4 linked regions of the Arabidopsis thaliana genome follow. The protein of the gene in region 1 interacts with the protein of each later gene in a pairwise test. Each region holds a gene or a part of one and is shown on either strand. Other genes may lie near its edges. The genes, in order: VOZ1, AT2G32020, AT3G58630 and AT4G26410.

Region 1 (5,602 bases):
GCTCGACGTTAAGCATCATCTAGTTGAGCCACTCTTATCCCTAGCTTATTTTGAATTTGAGTTGGATGTTTTGTCACATATGATATAGAAATCTATTATGGTGACATTGAATTCACCTTGGAGACCTTAAAGAAAAGAAAAAGAAGGAAAAAAACTTCTCCACTGTCACTAATTTGGTCCGGATCAAAGATAAAGTGTAGTGGTGGACCGATCTATATTCCAACCAGGGATATATAAGATGTAAGGTGCATACTCAAAGAAAATATTGTCAATAATTGGCTGTTTAACTGTGATTAATATATAATCGTACTCAGTCAAGAATTGGTTGTTTAAAATTAGTGGAGATATTATTTCTTATAACCTAGTTAAAAGTTGAATTTGAATATTTTTTTAGAGTTCATACGACGAACATTATGTATTTGAAATGAGAATAATAAGCAATAATAGATAAAGAACGATAGAATATGACCATTGAAGAAATTGAAAGTAGATGGTATGATGAAAATTGATGAGCATCACAAGATAGGAATATGGAAAACATAGTGGAGAAAAGCTAAGTTATATTCCTTCCTTGCCAATATCTCCTTCTTTTACACCTTCTTGTATCTTAAAAGAAAATAATAATAACTTAGTATTCACGACACTTGTCCAAATTCTTTACCCAAGATTCCTTTGTTATGCTTGTTTGTTTTTTCCTCCAAAAGTAATGCAAATTTACATTAGGTACAAACAATCTCATTGTTAAAACTCATTGAAAGGATATAAGAAAACAAATGGGTCCAAATTATTTTAAGAAATGACCAATTGTCAAGCGCAACCAAAATTACGGTTATCAATCTAATTGACTTATCTTGAAAATATAATACGTTACATTTCCAATATTCCTTTTTTATTATCAAATTACGTTACATGTAGTCGTAGACTTGAGCACTAATTAGCCGTTGAATCAAAATCTTTAACGTGGTTCTACTACGATGCTATCATAAAGTCTATGTCAATTTATCAACAAAATATACATTCTCGAAAGAAATGTTATCATGAATCGTTTTTTAGTTTTTTTTTCCTACGACTACAAGTACAGCTACGCAAAGTTGCAAACCACTCCCCTCCATACACATTAACTTGGACTAAACCCGATGATCATACAATGTCACAAATTTTAGCGTTACTACATTAGTCTTAACATTTTCTAATATTTGCAAATGTTCCATCCCTAAAATGGATGGTAGTTTTAATTTCAAAGCCTTTTTTTACACTTTTTTGTTTGGTATTTGTTTTAATTTTCTCGTATGTATAAAATTTGCTTAGCTTTAGCCTATCTTGAATTCTATCATCGCATATTCGCATGGTTATATTATATCTTACAAATCGTGTGACCCAAACTCTGATTTTGGAAAAATTCTTGGCGACTTCCCTAATGTATTACATAGTCTAAAGAAAAACTTAAATTTCTAACTCAAATAGTATTTAAATTTCCTCAAATAAGGAGCAAGTAGTGTATGGAGCCAATAGCATTGAAGAAAATGCCTAATTTTCTAAAGCATATGTGCAACAAAAAAAAAAAAAAAACATAATTGAACTCTGGTTAGTTTAGAAAACAAAACAAAAAAAAAAGATTATTTACACAACAAATAGTAAATTTTAAATGCTCATTTAATATTTCTTAATATAAATAAATGCTATAAAGAGAAAAAATGAACAATAAAAAGAAAAGAATCCATAATAAACAGTCCAAATGGCATTTTTTTCCAAAATAATCATTAAATTCCTTAAACATTTCCCCACAATTTGATAATTTTTAAATTTTTATATTTTCTCATAAATTAGTACATTGAATTTAGCTCATAAAAAAGGAAAAAGAAAAGTGGAGGGTGAAGAGAAGAAGAGAATCCAGCAACGTTTCTTTATTTCCTTTGTGTTTTTTTTTCTTCATAATCTCTCTCTTTTTATTTATTCATAATTTTTACTCTCTCCATTTCTTCATTACTCTTCTTTTTATTTTCCGGAGATTTTTCTCTTTGCCTTTGTTATTTGCTGCTTTTGCTGCAGCTACAGTGTAAGTTTGATTTTCTGGGTTCCTTCAAACTCCAAAATCTCGCGTCGCTTTTTGCTTCAGAATCGATTTGTTCTTGTTACTTCGATCTGTTGTTCTTTTTAACTCTGTGCATGATTCAATTTCGTGTTCGTAACCTGTTTTTTGCTGCTTGTTTAGTTCGACAATTAGGTAAAAAAATGACGATCCCTAAAACTTATGATCCTTTTAATCTTCGTTTAGCTACTTCGTTCGAGATCATCTAGGGCTTTTGTTGCTTCATCGATTTTGGGTTTTGATTTACTGTAAATGTTTTGGTTTTGTTTATGTAATCTAAGCATGTACCAATGATTCATGAGTGATCATGTTTGTTATAGGAGCAGAACTGATGTGAAGTGTGTATTTTGAATGTGTTTTTGGTTTTGTACAGAGAATCTTGTGTTTTTGTGGTGGGGAGGTGAGATTTCTTATGACGGGGAAGCGATCAAAGACTAATTGCAGATCTGCTTCTCACAAGCTCTTCAAGGATAAGGCTAAGAACCGTGTTGATGATTTGCAAGGCATGCTTTTGGATCTTCAGTTTGCGAGGAAAGAGAGTAGGCCTACTGATGTTACTCTTCTTGAGGAGCAAGTGAATCAGATGCTTCGTGAGTGGAAATCTGAGCTCAATGAGCCTTCTCCAGCTTCATCCTTGCAACAAGTATGCTTTCGTTTGTTTCAAATTTGCAATCTTGTTGTTTCTTCTGACTTGCATGGGTGATTTAGTTTTCTTTGTTGTTTCAGTCATTGTTAGCTGTGTCATTTTGTTTTGCTTAAGCAGGGTGGTACTCTGGGGTCTTTCTCATCAGATATTTGTCGGCTGCTGCAGCTCTGTGATGAGGAAGATGATGCTACCAGCAAATTAGCTGCCCCCAAGCCCGAGCCTGCTGATCAGAATCTCGAAGCTGGCAAAGCTGCTGTCTTCCAAAGGGTGAGTTGCTCTTTAGAACCAGTTTTTAATGGTGCTTTAGTTGTGTTTGGAGTCCATTATTTTGTTTAAATACTGAGATCGTGGTGAAAGTTTTCAGGGATACAATTTGGTTCAGGGGAAGTCAGAACATGGATTACCATTGGTTGATAATTGCAAAGATTTGTCCTTAGCAGCTGGTAACAATTTCGATGGAACGGCTCCTTTGGAGTATCATCAGCAGTATGATCTGCAACAAGAGTTTGAACCAAACTTCAATGGTGGTTTCAACAATTGTCCCAGTTATGGTGTAGTAGAGGGTCCTATACATATCTCTAATTTTATCCCGACTATTTGTCCTCCACCCTCTGCATTCTTGGGTCCAAAATGTGCTCTTTGGGATTGCCCTAGGCCAGCTCAGGGATTTGATTGGTTCCAGGATTACTGCAGCAGCTTCCACGCTGCACTGGCTTTCAATGAAGGGCCACCAGGTATGAATCCGGTGGTGCGTCCTGGAGGTATCGGCCTAAAAGACGGTCTGCTTTTTGCTGCTCTTAGTGCAAAGGCTGGAGGGAAAGATGTTGGTATTCCCGAATGTGAAGGAGCTGCAACTGCTAAATCTCCATGGAATGCTCCAGGTAGGCTTTACTCTCTTGGAATTCATTCACAAGTATGTTAATTGATCACCATTCTTGAGCTGATCATACTCAAATCTTGATGACTGTAGAGCTCTTTGATCTCACGGTTCTGGAGAGTGAGACACTAAGGGAGTGGCTATTCTTTGACAAGCCAAGGAGGGCCTTTGAGAGCGGGAACAGAAAGCAAAGATCTTTACCAGACTACAATGGTCGTGGTTGGCACGAGTCACGTAAACAGATCATGGTCGAGTTTGGAGGGCTGAAGAGATCTTACTACATGGATCCACAGCCTCTGCACCATTTCGAATGGCATCTTTACGAATATGAGATCAACAAGTGTGATGCTTGTGCCTTGTACAGGCTCGAGCTCAAGCTTGTTGACGGGAAGAAGACTTCAAAAGGCAAAGTCTCAAACGACTCAGTGGCTGATCTGCAGAAGCAGATGGGAAGACTCACAGCTGAGTTCCCTCCAGAAAACAATACCACTAACACCACCAACAACAACAAACGCTGCATCAAAGGAAGACCAAAAGTGAGCACAAAAGTCGCCACCGGGAATGTTCAGAACACAGTAGAGCAGGCAAATGACTATGGAGTAGGTGAAGAGTTTAACTATCTGGTCGGAAATCTAAGCGACTATTATATCCCCTGAGACGAATGTGGAAAAACTCAGGTTTAAAAAGCTGTTTGCTTACCATTTAATTAGGCAGCAGCAGAAGAAGCTTCTACATATCGTAGGGCAAAGTAATGGATTTTCATGACTCGTATCTTTTTTTTCTCTTATATAATAGTTCTCTGTCTATCTATGGAGATTATGTATATATAACAAGAAGTGGATGCTGAAGACTGTCCTGGAGTTAGGAATAGTAAATGTGACGAAGGAGACTGCTTTTTAAGATTCAGTCTATGGAGGTGAAGACATATTTACTGACATTCCGGTTTATATATTTTGATGCATTTTCGACTCTCTTCTGCGATATAATGCAGATGACAAATTATGTAACCGATGGGGAAATACGGTTTTGAGTATCAGTGTTGTTCTTATAGAATCAGGACCTTGTTCAATGAGATCATTGCTCTTACTTAGTCTATGTTTCAGATTTGGGGTTTTGTTAATAAAAATTCTCTGCAGAGCTTCAAAATCTTAAGCATCGTTTCAAGAATCATGTAATCACGTTCTCACTCTTCTTAAGATATTTGCATATCATAGACGCCAAGTGTTACAAGCAATCAATCAAATCATATTCTACATATATTGTACTAAAATTCATCTAAAGAGAGACAGGAACTTCGCTATGCTTATTGTGGCAATAATGGTCTGACCAATGCAAAAGGACGATCTGAATTCACAGACATTAATAATTCCAACACAACTACTTTTTTGGGAGGGTGACTCTTAAGACCAGGCTCAATCAGCCCTGCAAAGCAAAGAATGACACAACACATAATCAGATAAACTTAAAAGGATACGAATAGCATTGAATTTAAGGAATTGAAAGAAGAACCATGGTGTGTTACCAGGCTTGAGTTTTTTTCCTCCATAAAGTTCTCTAGCTAAAGGATTAGCAGCCCAGTGATTCACAGCCACCCGGCTTGTCGGTTGGAACCCTATGATTTTACCTTCGGATGATAAAACTACCTGCTTCCATTAAAGAACCAGACGAAGATGAAGTAGTAGTCCACTTAAAAGAATTCAATTCATCATAATTCACTGGAATTACCTGGTAAGTAGCGATATCTTGCGCAGATGCCTTTGCGTCTTCATTGAGTATTTCCAGAAGAGACGAGCTTGTAACAATGTGATCTTCAACAGACTTAGCTCTGCTGGTTTCTTTCAAGTAGTCAGGTACTTCCCCTATCCAGGCACCTATGCTGCTTTCTAGTGTGATCTCCCCTACCCAGCTGTAGGCATCCTTGAGCTTGTTGACGAGTAATCCGCAGAATGAATCCAACTGCTCATTTGAGGTTTCAGAATTTAGTTTCCGA
Region 2 (3,779 bases), on another chromosome or scaffold:
TCCTATATGGACTGACTGGTCAGACATATTGAACGGAGTGGAGTCTTTATTCACATAACCTAAAAATAACTTTTTTTGATATGCATGTGTATCTATAGGCCAAATATATTTTAGTTCTACCACAGAAGTTAAAATAAATTGTATTAGTAATATATTTAGTCCTTTGAAAGTGGGAAACGAAATTAGCCTCACACAAGCACAGTGATGATTGATTTCTTCTTCTTTTTTTTACCCAAAAAAATCCATTTTTTCTTGTAATTTCTTATTTCCAGATTATTTTCTTCATAACAAAAAAAAAAGAAAAGAAATTGCTCACTTCACTTCTCACTAGATTCTTTATAACGAAACCTCCACTACACGGGCCCTAAATTTGGGCCACATGGGCTTCTCTCTTAACGAATTACGCACGAGTAAACTTCATTTTTCCAACAAGAAGAAGAAACTCAGGGGAATCTAAAGATTGTTTACTTTAATTTAAGAAATATGGAGAAATCATAATAAATTAATTACGTACTACTTATAGTAAATTTGTTGAATTACATAAATTCATAATTCAAATTTTACAAATACTTTTAATATCCTGTGTTATTTTAACAAAGCTGGTCTGGCTCTTAAGTTCTCATCCCAAGGACCATGGGATGTTTTGCTTTTTTTTTCTTTTGCTTGTTGGATGAGTATGTGAACCTTTTTATGGATACAGGACGAATCCCATTGTTTTATTTACATTCTACATTATTCGTTTATACGCTTCTATTAACCTTTGATTTTTAAAACTCTTCTCTACCTATCAATTTGTAATCGGATGATCCCTCTAACCTCACTTCTGTCTCATGCACTGACTTTAATTGTTTCGTAATTTACAATGTAGGATTTATAGATTTTTTTGGCAAATGAAAAACAGAGTGTTTACATCATGTATTACGTATATGAATCATACACTAAATCCAACATATATATGTAGAATTGCTAATTAATCTTTTTGTTGATTAATTACTTCAAAGTATCAGTAGACAAGAAACTAAACATAACAGTGTCTCTTACACTTCCCTTGATACATATAAACTTCCTCATCACACCTTCTCTAGTAAACCCAACTTTTTCAAGAACCCTTTGAGATCCAACATTGTCCACATCAACAAGTGCCTCAAGCCTTTCAATCTCTGGAAATTCCTCGAATACCTCCGCGGTCACTAGCCTCACTGCTTCCGTGGCAAACCCTTTTCCCCAATACTTTCTCGCTAGGACATAACCAATCTCTTTTCTGATGTTATCAACCGCCATGATCAAGATGTAGCCGATTGGACGGTCGTCTTCTAAGCAGATGGCTCGGAGCCAAGGGTGTGTCAGGACACGATCGGTTATGTATTTGATAGCTTCGTCTCGGCTCGTGCAAGGCTCCCAAGTGCAAAATCGAGCCACTTTAGGATCTGTGGCCCAAACCATGTAGTCATCGACGTCGGAAAGAGTCATCGGCCGGAGAGATATTCTTCCCGGAGGCGAAGAGCTCATTATTGGATTAGTTTCTTCTGAGTCCATCTCCATTTAGGATTAGTGATTGTTTTAGATATCATATCACTACGTCTAAGCGATGTCTTTATACACATCGCGATCTTGAAAAACTTTGAGATTCTCCCTTATTGCTTTTGACTAAAAAAACACTAAATATTACCATTTGCTATAGATAAGTGTATTTAGTGTTAAATATACGACATAAGATGAGGTGTCATCGTGTGAGTGGATAATTGTCTATATTTGACCTTGGACTTTCGACACTTACTTGGTTGCCAAACAAAGTATTGTTCTGGTTTCGGAACTTAATGTGTTGCTTCCAGTTGGATGCCCACAATGCCACGTGTCAAATCGTGTGTGGTCTGATTCCCAAAAAGGATTTAACTGTTTCTCAAGTTATTCTAAATGGATTAAATATTTTAATACTGTTAATATTTGTGGTGCAAATGATCGTAATCGTTTGTTATATACTGTCAAAATCAACTCAAGAATCAAGTCACTCAACATGTTGTATGATTAAGTAATTTAGCTAAAGATTAATTAATCGAATGTTATCAGAATTCCATTCATCTATCGCTGTAAAACTAGCTATCACACTATCTTTTTATTGTATAAAATATTTCATGTTTAGATTCAAAAAGAAAATATATATATATATATCATGTTTCATTTTGTACTTTTAATTTTCAATATAAACTTACATTTTTTCTGAGATAGTGAAGCTTTGTTTTATTTGGTGAAGTGAACATGGTAAATAGTAAATACATTACTCTCAAATTATAAAAAATAACTTTTGTATGAAATAGTTAATATATAAGGTTACAACTAACAATTACATAAGAAGAAGAAAGATAGAGCATCACATCAAATTATACATGTGATTTTTACAAACTAAGCAAAATATAAATTTCGACATCAAACAAACTTAATATATATATTTGATATTTGTTAATTCAAATCAGATCAGTGCAACGAATCAGAAGGCAAGAAACTAAACATGACCATATCTCTAACATTTCCTTTAAGATACATAAATTTCCTCATCACACCTTCTTTCACAAACCCAACTTTTTCAAGAACCTTTTGAGATCCAACATTGTCAACGTCAACAAGTGCCTCAAGCCTCTGCATCTCTGGCTTCTCCTTGAATATCTCCCCCGCCACAAGCCTCACCGCTTCAGTGGCGATCCCTTTCCCCCAATACTTGCTTCCGAGGACATAACCAATCTCTCCTCTGATCTCATCGACTGGCGTTACGGAGATCGAGCCAATCGGACGGTCGTTATCTAAGCATATAGCTCTAAGCCAAGGGTGTGGCAAAAGAGCGTCGTTTAAGTACGCGATCGCGGCTTCTCGGCTAGTGTAAGGCTCCCACGTGCAAAAGCGTGTGACGTTTGAGTCAGTGGCCCAAACCATGAAATCGTCGACGTCGGAAAGAGTCATTGGCCGGAGATGGATTTTCTCCGGAGGTGAGGAACTCACGGTGGATAGGGTCTCCGGTTTGATCGTAGTAGTTGAGTCCATCTCCATTGACTTTTTCTTGGTTACTTTCCTTTTTGAGTCTTTGAAGCTTCTTTGGGATTCTTTAAAATAAATTATCTCTCTCAATTCTTACAGATTTGTGTAGAGGCATTATGATAATACTTCTTCTACAAATCACGATTTAAATACTGATTTTTTTTTAACAAAAAAGAAAATAAACAGAACGTTCCTTCTTGCTTCGATCGGTCAAATACGCAACAATTAGTTCTTGTTGAATGGAAGGTGTGAAAAAGACGGTTTATAATGGGTATGGGTGAACCGTATATTTACCATCCATTCATCGTTTTTGATTTAAAAGAGGTATATTCAATCTAGTATTTAAAGTGACTTTCGTAAATTTTACAAGTATATGTTATTTAATTATGGATTTTGAAAATTCTAATGAAATCTAGTGTTATTAAAATAATAATTTAAAAATCTACCTTTAAATTCACTGTTATTAAAAATAATTTATGGATTTGATTTTTATAAGAATGTATTCAATCTAATATTTTAAGTGATTTGTGTAAAATTTATAAATTCTATGTTGTTCGATTATGGATTTGAAAAACTTTAATGAAATCTAGTATTATTGAACTAAAGATTTAAAATTCTATCTTAAAATCTATTGTTATTGAAAATAATTGGTAGATTTGATTCTTATTAATTTTGAAGGATTTGAGAAAGTTCTTTAGTTAAAAATAACAAAATCGAAATTCATGGTCTTATATAGAATTTTAAAATATTTT
Region 3 (5,198 bases), on another chromosome or scaffold:
CTGTTACGCATTTCCTCTTATAACATATCTCTCTTCTCATTCTTTCAAATCTTTAGTCTTCACGAACGTAAATTGATTCAAAGAGCCATTTTGTTAATTGAAATTTTCATTCTTTTGTTTTGCTTTACTGTATTATCATATTGAAACCTGCTCCGATTGTATTAATCCGAGGAAAATGCATGTTTCTCAATTATCGTTCATGCAAAAAGGCCCCAATTTAATGGTTCATTTGGTTTTCTTATTTTTGTTTGTTTTAGAAACTCTTACTTATTACAAATGGGTCCTGGTGGGCTGGGTTACTTGTAATAACACTGCTTTCAATAAAATATCCATTGACAAATAAACTATAGTTTCATAGAAGGAATTTGAGGCGCCAATACAGAACACAAACTATGACAAAGTCTCAATGAGAGCAAAAATGATTTGCCTCACATTTTGGGCAAAGGTTATGAATCTCAAGTTCTTAACATTTCATATTAAAGTCTCTTAAACTTAACATGTTATGGAGTTGAGAACTTGAGATTTGTAATAGATAAATAATGAATTACTAGGATATAGCGGTATATCCCTGAAGATTTTTTTTTTATTTTCCACCTCATTAAATCATAAATTAGAACACAAACTAAGAAATACCAAACAATACTAACCAATATAATTTTGCTGAAAACTGTTTCTTGTACTGTTTCATTGTGTAGATATACCAATATAACGTCACCAATTTTTTTTTCAATCCTGGGTTGGAATCGGAATCTTCTAAAAGGGTTAAAATTTACAAAACAAAGAGAAACTCATGTTTCTTTGTTACCATATCTTCTATTGGTTGGTGGAAGAACGCTGACTTTCTCTCATCTTCATCAAAATGGCTACAATCACAAACTCATGATGCTGCAAACAAAACCAACGACTTAGCCCAACAAGTCTACACATTTTGTACATAGGCAAAGTTTTGATCGACTAGGGAGTTTTAAATATAAATAAAGGAGTCGTACCTCTAGAAGTAACTAGGGAAATCCATCATCCCATAATCAAGAGCTGCATAAACAGAAAAAGTTCACTTATTATTCATACATAGACCTGCTGCTGATAATTTGTTCTAGTGGTCAAACATGTAATGCAAAGAGGAATTCATCAAATTAGCAGGTGACTAACAAGTAAAGAAATATGGACCAAGCGAAAACGAAAGAAACAAATGTCTGTCGTGTAATGCCATAGCCAAGTTGCAGGAAAGATTTGATGCATCCAAAAAAAAATCAAATTTTGTCTCCTGAGACTATATGTCAGAAACTAATGGTTGATGCATCCGAAAAATCCTTCCACATATCATGCATTCTCTTTTCAAACATCCATACCCATTATTTCCTAACTTTCGAAGCAGTTAGCATGTAAACTCACAATCTTCTCAATCAACTAACCAACAAAAAGGCTACTCTACACTCAAAACTTACTGGGCATCACACTCAAAACACTTCACAAAGCACTCATGCTTAACAACAAACAGAAGCAGATTCAAGTTTCTAGCTCATGAACTGCTTCCCAACTAATGCTCACATCAGTCATTGTAGAAAAACTTTCCACACTCAGACTATAATTACAAGAAACACAAGTAACAAAGCAACAACATCTAGGAGAAAAATGTAACCAGGACCTCCTCCTTACCATGAATACCAATACTTGCTACTAATTAGTTTATTTTTGTTCAGATTCATCATCTCTGTGCGATATCAATTTGTTCTTGTACTTTGATTGGGTTTATTATAGCCGTCGTTGGCACAGAGACTATCACAAGTAAAAAGGTAAAATTTGTTTCTACTCTTATGCTATAGTCACTGTTACACAGCTAAACAATGGAGAAAGACATAGAATTCTGAACAGATTACGAAATACGGCGAGAGAAAGGATTCAGGTCTCACCGGCGGAGGCGGAGGAAGTCGGTCCTTTGGAGCCAGAGGTACGCCGGAGCTTATGAAGACGTACCTGCATCTCCGTGAACAGTTGCATCCTATGGCATTCCAATTCCTTAGCGAATCTCATTCTCTGCTTCTCCAATTCAACCATTTCCTTCCTCTTCTTCTCCTCGACTCTCTCGTATATCTGTCCAAGCCTCTCAATTGCGTCGGCAACTTCCTTGTAGCCTTGCTTCTTCTCAATTTTCCTCTCCCGCTTCTTGTTACTCCCGCTACGACCGCTCGATCTAGACCTTGAACCTTCCGAGTCATCTTCAGACGCCGGACACGCCGCCGCCGCTGCGGCTGCCGCGAATGCGTTGAGATTCCCGCGAAATCCGAGTAAATCGTCACCGGCGTGAGGTATAATCGCCGGCGATGTCGCCGGACGTCTGGGGATCGCCGATCGTGGAGCGACCGGAACTGGATTAATGGACATCGGAAGTGATAGCCTCTGGTGCGGGATGTTATCAGTTGAATCAGGATTACTAGACGTCGGAAAGCTTTCCCGGAGAAGGTCATCGAGAGCGGAGAAGAAAGGCCAAGGGCTGATGTAGGCACCGGGATTGGATTCCGAAACCCTAGCCTTCTCGACTTTGTACTTCTTCTTCAGAGTATCGATCCGGTTTTTACACTGAACGTCGGTGCGATACGGCTGCGATTTGGCGGCGGAAACGTTTCGACCGGTGTTGTAGTGACGGTCGTTAACGGCGTTAGCCACCTCTTGCCAGTGTTTCTGACGGAGATTACCTCGGCTGAGGTCGACGTAGCGATTACCCCAGGCTTGGATGAGCGTGAAGGTCGCTTCCTCGCTCCAGCAATCTTCACGAGAAAGCGTCGCCGGCGAAGGTCGGGAAGATCCCGGCGAAAAGGAATCGTTGACGGTGTCCATTATAAGGTGAACGACGGCGAGTTAGATCGAAGAAGATGAACGGTGAGGATGAGATAAACGGAGGTGAACGGTGACAGTGACGGTAACGGAATTGAAGAGAAACGAAGTTCTTTTTTTTTAAAAAGACAAACCAGCGTTTTTGCTTTGTGTGCATGTACTAAACCGTGAGCCAGACTAAACGAGCCAGCTCTAGCTAATTTATATACATCGTTAATTTGGTTTTTATTTTTTAACAGCTAAAACGTTTTAATTTTTATTTTATTTTGTTAATGTTGACTACCGAACAAGATAATATTTCTCTATATTTTTTTTTCTTACAAAAGCTTTAAATATTCATTTTAATATGCAATTTGATAAGTCTAAAGTTAATTAGTAATATTATGTGTGGTAGTTCTAATTAAATTTCATTATGAATCGTTGGTAATATATTTTTTTTTTGGGTGAATCGTTGGTAATATAATATGTAAGTTTTGGTTGATATTTTCCTTTTTTTTTGTTGTCTAACTTAATTAGAATATGATAACGGTTCCAAATGAATTGGTATCACATCCTAAATAGTATGTAATTGACAAATTTATAGCATGGTGAAATTTCTGAAACTGTAGATTGTAGAGAAAAATCAAAGCTAATTAAAAAATCGGATATGGCTCGTTAGATGTTTGGTTTAGTTTCCGTAAAATGTAATGATAGTACTGCCAAGTAGAATATGATCAAACGATCTATTTTTGTAAGTTAATGACACATTGCTATATTAGAATAAGTTATTCTAAGTTTTGTGTGTTTAGGTGATAAGCTAAATGGGTAACGCGAACTACTAGTATCGTTGTTATATCACCGAATTTAAACTCGGTACTAGAATGTATGTTGTTGTCAAATAGGTAATGACAAATTACGGCTACGAACATAAAATCGTTTTTTCTTTAAATAACTAGAAGTTCTGCAAAAACTGTAGTTTGCTCTTTTTTCTTTGTCAATCAAAGCTCCTTTTCATTTCTTAAGGCACGAAATATAAACGAAAAGTACATGTATTTGTCCGTAATTTTCTTATAGCAAATGCAAAGCAGGGAACAAACCTTATGGTACGAAAAAGAGTAGCAAGCTTGATCATTTAAACTGAAAGAATGAGCAACTCTTCTCACCTTTTGTAAAATTTATAAGACTTACTTTTTTGTTTCAGAGGTTTTGAAATTTACGAATTTGCAAATGATTAAACGGAAAAGAGTTCCACAAAGCTTTTTGTGGATGTGAAAGCGCCAAAGTTCTTTTGTACAAACTCAAAGGAGAAAGCCAACAATATTCAAAAAAAAGAAACGAAGAAAACAAAAACCTCTCTCGCTGCAAAGTTTTATATTCACAGAAGGAAAATATGATTGAGAGAAAGTTAGCAAAGCGAATACTCACAATCCAGCAAACGAGAGAGTATCTCATTGCAACTCGGTCTTTGTTCCGGTTCTGTCCAACAATCTGCGAACAAGAGACAACACATCAGAAAAGGATACTCCATAAACCCCAAACAAAGCTTCAGGAAAAACGAAATAACAACACTTTGACAAGTCACAAGACCTGCAATAAGCTTTCCCAGTGGTCCTTCAGGAATCTCAAGCCGAGCTCCCTCGTAAGCAATAGCATAAACAACCTGAGAAGAAATATGAGGAAACTTGTTATATATACACATATGTCACTAAAGAGTCTTCTTCTTGTTCAGTTAAGTTACCCGTTCAGGCGGTACTCCTTCCCAAGGTCTGGTTAAAGTGCATAGCTCCCACATTATTACACCTAAACTGAAGATATCACACTTTTCTGAGAAGGGCTCATTGCGGATAAGTTCAGGAGCCATCCACTCTGGAGTTCCTGCAGAGACTGTGTCTCTCATTGTTGTCCCTGTCATTATTCTCGACAGCCCAAAATCACAGATCTTGACTGTCCATTTGTTGCTCAAAAGACAGTTTGCACTCTTTATATCACGGTGTACTATCCCCATCCGGTGTATACACATCAATCCCCTAGCAACATTTTACAAGTTTAAACGCTGTTTGTTAATTAAAGATGATTACGAAACTTTCTCATCGAGACACAATTCCAGGTCCTATTTGGAAGTGTTATTGCCTTCTCCTCAAACCAAAATTTTCCATATTAATACTACATACTATGTTGGAAAGAAGGATACACGGTTTTGTATGGAAGATGAAATTACCTGCAAATGTCCCGCAGCATCTTTAGCTTCCTCCGCCAGCTTAACCTCTTTTTTTGTCCACTCAAGTGGAGCAAGTAATACAAAGATCCCATTTCCATGTACTCAGTGATCAGTGATAATCGTGGAGGCTTTGTGCATGCTCCAAGGAACAGTATAACTACAAGAAGTC
Region 4 (5,364 bases), on another chromosome or scaffold:
TCTTGAGATGAAACTCAAAGTCTCTTTTGTTTCTTTTTTTGTGTGTGGCTCCCACACACTACATAATGTTCTTGGATCATACTCTGGTTACAAGTACATTAGTTTGGTACGAGTGCAATTGCATAAACAAAGACTATTTTTTGAATATATTTTACAAAAATGTGTGATCACATTTGGCTCGTGATCACACAACTTTGGGATTCGTATTTGGAGATAATGCGATTCATGCAGTCAACAACCATACTCACAGTCACATGCCTCTCCCTCTCAACATAAATACCTGTGTTCATCTTTTTATATTTTACTAAATTAAAAGGGATACTTTTAACGGAAACCCAAATGATCATCAGATATTATAATACAAATAAAGAAAAGATTCCATTCCTCGAAAGTGTTTATTTGTTATGCAGTATTCAACAATCTGAGTGAACAAGATTTTATGTACTATAAGCTGAGGAATAGCAGTTTACGAGTTCTCACCGAGATGAGATGACCCCGAGGCCGATGCGGATGACGAAGAGGATGAAGAGAATAATCCGCTGAACGGCCATGGAAAAGAGAACCTTCTCTCGCTCACATTACTGTTCCTTGCATCATCTTCCACATTCTCATTACTTACGTTGATCTCTAGAGTTCTTGTTCTCGGTCTTACAGGATTAACCTTGGTCTCATCATCAGGAGGGAGTTCATATCGGCACACGGGACATGAACTGTGAAGCTCGAGCCACGGTACTATACACCGGATGTGAAACTTGTGCTTACACGGCATCTCTTTAGCTTCACTTCCTTTGTCAAAATCATCCAAACAAATCGAGCACTGCAATGATTCACTTATCTTAACCGTTGGGAGATTATCCACAACTTCTTTACGTGCTGGAAGACTCCCGTGCCTGATTGAATCATTATCAGCTAGATGTTCAAGCAAATGGTCTAAACTGGATCCAACAAAGTAATCTCCAATTGCAGAAAGAGAAGTATTGTTCCGGTTTTGATTCAAACTCGTTGAACCCTGAACAACAGCTGATTGATTTAACAGGTCTCGATCCGAGCTCTCATACTCAGAAGCAATCCCTGCACGAATACCCTGAAGCAACTGCAATATAGTAGCTGAGCTTCTCCGTCTCCTCCTAAGGATAGACTCAAACTCTCTGTCTAAATCAATCTCTCTACCTTGTTGCCTGTGGCGATGACGACGATGATGATGTCGATCAATATCGACGCTGTCATTTCCATCAACATCATCAGATACATTGACCTCATCATTATCCACACCAAACTCTGTCCTCCTAAACCTTCTACGTCTACGAGGATTACTCATCATTCCAAGCAAGATTGGACCCCATAGAGACAATGCACGGTCTGTACCAAAATCAATCTCAGGGTCTTGAACCTCCCTTAGACTGCTACTGCTGCCGCCATTAATCTCACGGCTCATTTCCTCGACAAACCCGCTTTGGCAAAAGGGGCATTTGATCTCGGCACCAATAACTGGATTCACCATTTGTGAACACATGTGACACCAATACCTAGCTGACATTGCCTCTTCCTCCTTCTTTCCTTCCCCACCCAAACCTCTCGTTTCTGAAACAACCAGAAGAACAACAAAAAAAAAAACATGAAGAAGCAAACCTATAAAGTTTCGACCTTTGTTTCATCAGATCTAAATAAAGAGAATGGTATTCCCAAAAGTTTCACTAAAAAGAGGATAATATCATCTTCACCAACATCATTAGCTCAAGTTTCAGACAACAAAACGCAAGCTTTCTATGCAAATGCGAATAAACAGATCAACCAAAATTTGCCTCTATAAAGAGATAACAATAGAAATCAGGGCTAATCCATGAAAAGAAAACTCTCAATTCTCATGGAGTAATTAAAACAAAACAAATACAAAAACAAACCTTGTAAATGTTCTTACTTTTGGAGATCCAGAGGGAAGAAATGTCTTCCTCCTTCTTTTAGATCTCCACGAAGATAAATGAGAGCTTTTTTATTTGTCTTCTTCTGCAGAAATGGTGGGAGACGAAGAAAAGAGGAATGAAGGAGGAAAGGAAGACGAAGATGAAGACGAAGAAAAGGGAATGTAATGTATAGTTCGCAGACCCAATCTTAAAGCCCATTAACCGCAAACTGATATATAAAGGAGCCGGGTCTATCTTAACCATTTAAAACCAACTTCTAATTTGGAATCAAATTGAACCGAATCGAACCGGTTGAAGTTGAAAGAAGGAGAAAAGGCGTTGTCTCCGTGCGAGAAAGGCAAATCGGAGACGATGAGCGAAACCGAAGCAACCGGCGTTACCGATGATTCGGCTCCAGCGATTGAGACTGAAACTGTTTCTGATGCGATGGAGCATACAGCGATCGGAGTGGTTGAATCGGTGGAAGGAGCCATAGAAGGAGCAGAGAAATGGGTGGGTGATTTGCAACGGACGGTGAAGGAATCGAAGGATACCGCAATGCGTTCTGCTCGTTCCCTCCGTGAAAATTCTACCTCTCAGTTCCGCTCTATACAGGTTAGTTAATCTCTCTTTTGTTCACCAAACAATTTTTGCGAATCGAGATTGTTTACCAAAAAACATTTTCAGGATTTCAAACCATGGATATGGTGGAATTTAGTATCTCGTAAGCTATAATTTCTAGAAATGAGCTCGATTCAGAACAGATATTTCTCCAATTAGCAGTTTTATGTATTGAATGGTGCTAGTTTTTGTTCATATGGGTAAAATCTTGTTGAATCATACCATTATAACTTATTGGCAATGATCTTAGTCTCTTCCTGGGTTCTGATTCTGCTTCAAATGGTTGTTTAGAAGACTGTAATGTATCGCTGAGGCATTCTTGATTATTCTCTAAACAATGTTTTTATATGATATCAGATATTCATGTAGCTTAATGATGTGTGATATGGAGTAGACCCTATCTGGCTGAAATCACAGTTCCATTAGATGTATGTATATGTCTTCGTCTTCTCTCATACAATCTTACATTTGATTCTGAAATTGCAGGATTTCATTCCACATGCTTTGACTCAGTATAAGACCTATGAGAATGCTTTCTTCAGTAAAGTTACAGGTATCTTGCAGCCAATTTTCGTGAAAAAGTTATACTGGTAGACTACTGTAATGCTTAGGAACGAGTATTTTAGATCAAACTGAGATATAACAGATAGCTGCCACAAAACTTTTATATATACTTGTAGTGCATCTTATAGTGTTCTGAAACTAGAATCTTCATGTCATTCCGATTAATCAATCCTCGTATCCTCTGCTGCTTTTGTTATCCTCGCAGACGAATTGATATACGCAAAAGAGCATCCGGCTGCTGCTATTGGGATTGGTGTCGCTGCTAGTCTCGTTCTGATGCGAGGTATAACCTCTACTCTCTTATCACTTTTACAACTTACAAGATTCCTTCCCGTAGGAGCATCCAAATGGTATTACATCTGTTTTACTTATATGTGTCTTGTATGAATTTGGTTTTCTATTGTTCGACTTACAGGCCCAAGAAGATTCTTGTTTCGTAATACACTAGGCCGATTTCAGAGCGAAGAGGTATATACTATACCAGCTTCAAATTTATTTCTTAACGTTGTTATGCTTAGTTGCCCTGGTCTGTGTCCCTTCCCTTATTTTTACATCCACTTCAAAATCATCGTCGCTTCAGGCACAATTCTTGAAAGCTGAGAAGCATGTTCAGGAGTTAAACATGTCTGTAGACTTGATGAAAAAGGAGAGCAGGAAATTGCTTGAGAGGACGGCTTTAGCAGAGAAGGATATGAAACGTGGTCTCTCTGAGCTCATGTATGCCCCAACATGGACGCTCCCACTTCTTTTATTAAGTTATTGACATCATTTATGTTAATATGGGTACTACTGTTATATCTATAGGAACTCTGGAAACGATATACATCGTCTTGCTAAGTCCGTCCACAAAGCTGAATGTGAAGCTGCTGGTAATCTTGAACAAGATTTATTTTTACTCACTTCTCCCTTCTCCCTTCAAATGGTATCTTTGATAATGCCACTACGTCAGATTTCAACTTACACAAAGAGTTCTATTCGCTGCAGATTTGATGGACGGACTTCGGCAAATTCCTGGAAGGGATGCTATCAAGCTTAGAGCTGAAGTGAGTCTGACTTTTTTCTTCTCGCCCATTGTTTGAGCTTCATTGCTATGAACGTCTCATTAAATTCTTTTGTCGTAAATCATTAGGTGGCTTCCATGACTTCGCTTTTGAGACAGAAGAGGATTGCATTGAACAAAAGGATCATGGGTATGTCGGACCTAGGAGTTTCCGTCTGATATATCCAACACAAATCCACAATTTCTTGGGTTTTCGCAACCAAAGTTTGTTAGGTATTTTCCAATTGAATCGCAGTGTACTCTCGTCCATCGAACATCCAACTCTGTCTGAAACCAAAATCTGAGCTTGAGACAGAACTTGTATACTGTGTTTTTGCCTGCTTCCTAAGATTTCTCGCTCAGAGAGAATTAATTGAGTCACAAAAATGTGTGTGCTTGGTTTGGAAATCCTTAATTATGTAGTCTAGAAGATTTATGAGAAACATAGAAAGTTACTGAATCAATCAGTAATGAAAATTTATAGATAACATGAAGGTTTTTAATGGGCTAGTTTTGCATCGTAAGTCTATGGGAGACGGGCTGTGGGCCATCCACCCATGCGACTAGGCGACCCAACTGCTCCGATTGGTCTAGTAATGTTAAACCCTCCAGACGAGCAAGAAGCTTCAGTCGTCGGACCGGTCCGACCATTAACGTCCAGAGTCCGTTCTCTCCTCCTTAGACGCTCCCTCTTGAGCAGAGTCCCTAACTTATCTTTTCCCGATTTTCCCTTGTCCGGAACAGGTATCATCTCCAGACCCATCAGCTTTGCAACAACCCCCGTCTTGCACCATACCACACTCTCTCCGGCCACTGTCCGTGGCAGGCGTTTTGTCTCCAAGCTCATCTGGCTCGATCTCTTTGATGTCCGTTGATCCCCGCAGTGGGATCTCCGCCCACCCTGTATCGTCATGTCAGCACTGGTGCCAAGATGGCGCCGGAAGGATGACCGGTACATAGCGTCCTTACCGTCCAGTGAGAAACGTGGGTACTGATTCAACGCGTTCCTTGCTGACCTTAACGGCAGACAAACAGAAGTTGATATTAGTATTGATCATAGTATCATACACAATAAAATTATTTCTGTTTCTTCCGGTAATTCCTTAAATATCACTACAGATTTCACCAGTATACGAAATCTAGAAAATTCAAAAAAAAAAAAAAAAAAAAACACTTTAAAATGTAGTCATATAACTTGTTTCGTACATTCAAATCTACACCGGTGAATATCATATTATC

The links.
Region 2: the proteins of VOZ1 (region 1) and AT2G32020 interact in a two-hybrid assay, tested with the Arabidopsis thaliana proteins (one large-scale study listed by BioGRID).
Region 3: the proteins of VOZ1 (region 1) and AT3G58630 interact in a two-hybrid assay, tested with the Arabidopsis thaliana proteins (one large-scale study listed by BioGRID).
Region 4: the proteins of VOZ1 (region 1) and AT4G26410 interact in a two-hybrid assay, tested with the Arabidopsis thaliana proteins (one large-scale study listed by BioGRID).

Annotation. Positions count from the first base shown.
Region 1 is NC_003070.9:10,027,212-10,032,813, forward strand, and holds VOZ1 (vascular plant one zinc finger protein), read left to right. Parts: upstream 1-1,871; 5' UTR 1,872-2,056; exon of another isoform or gene 2,057-2,462; 5' UTR 2,463-2,501; coding exon 2,502-2,732; intron 2,733-2,852; coding exon 2,853-3,002; intron 3,003-3,099; coding exon 3,100-3,616; intron 3,617-3,705; coding exon 3,706-4,268; 3' UTR 4,269-4,779; downstream 4,780-5,602. Other genes in the region: AT1G28530 (deneddylase), read right to left, coding at 4,916-5,034, 5,135-5,255, 5,338-5,568. UniProt on the Arabidopsis thaliana protein: Transcriptional activator acting positively in the phytochrome B signaling pathway. Functions redundantly with VOZ2 to promote flowering downstream of phytochrome B (phyB). Down-regulates 'FLOWERING LOCUS C' (FLC) and up-regulates 'FLOWERING LOCUS T' (FT).
Region 2 is NC_003071.7:13,630,203-13,633,981, forward strand, and holds AT2G32020 (Acyl-CoA N-acyltransferases (NAT) superfamily protein), read right to left. Parts: upstream 1,728-3,779; 5' UTR 1,543-1,727; coding exon 991-1,542; 3' UTR 778-990; downstream 1-777. Other genes in the region: AT2G32030 (Acyl-CoA N-acyltransferases (NAT) superfamily protein), read right to left, coding at 2,473-3,039.
Region 3 is NC_003074.8:21,682,937-21,688,134, forward strand, and holds AT3G58630 (sequence-specific DNA binding transcription factor), read right to left. Parts: upstream 3,104-5,198; 5' UTR 2,836-3,103; coding exon 1,911-2,835; coding exon of another isoform or gene 1,900-1,910; exon of another isoform or gene 1,033-1,899; coding exon 992-1,032; 3' UTR 990-991; intron 886-989; 3' UTR 594-885; downstream 1-593. Other genes in the region: TTL4 (tetratricopetide-repeat thioredoxin-like 4), read left to right, coding at 1-23; AT3G58640 (Mitogen activated protein kinase kinase kinase-like protein), read right to left, coding at 4,217-4,299, 4,399-4,471, 4,550-4,838, 5,030-5,186.
Region 4 is NC_003075.7:13,344,487-13,349,850, forward strand, and holds AT4G26410 (chromosome-associated kinesin), read left to right. Parts: upstream 1-2,167; 5' UTR 2,168-2,273; coding exon 2,274-2,516; intron 2,517-3,008; coding exon 3,009-3,075; intron 3,076-3,291; coding exon 3,292-3,369; intron 3,370-3,501; coding exon 3,502-3,554; intron 3,555-3,666; coding exon 3,667-3,803; intron 3,804-3,890; coding exon 3,891-3,955; intron 3,956-4,070; coding exon 4,071-4,129; intron 4,130-4,215; coding exon 4,216-4,305; 3' UTR 4,306-4,651; downstream 4,652-5,364. Other genes in the region: AT4G26400 (RING/U-box superfamily protein), read right to left, coding at 467-1,537; AT4G26415 (uncharacterized protein), read right to left, coding at 4,652-5,141.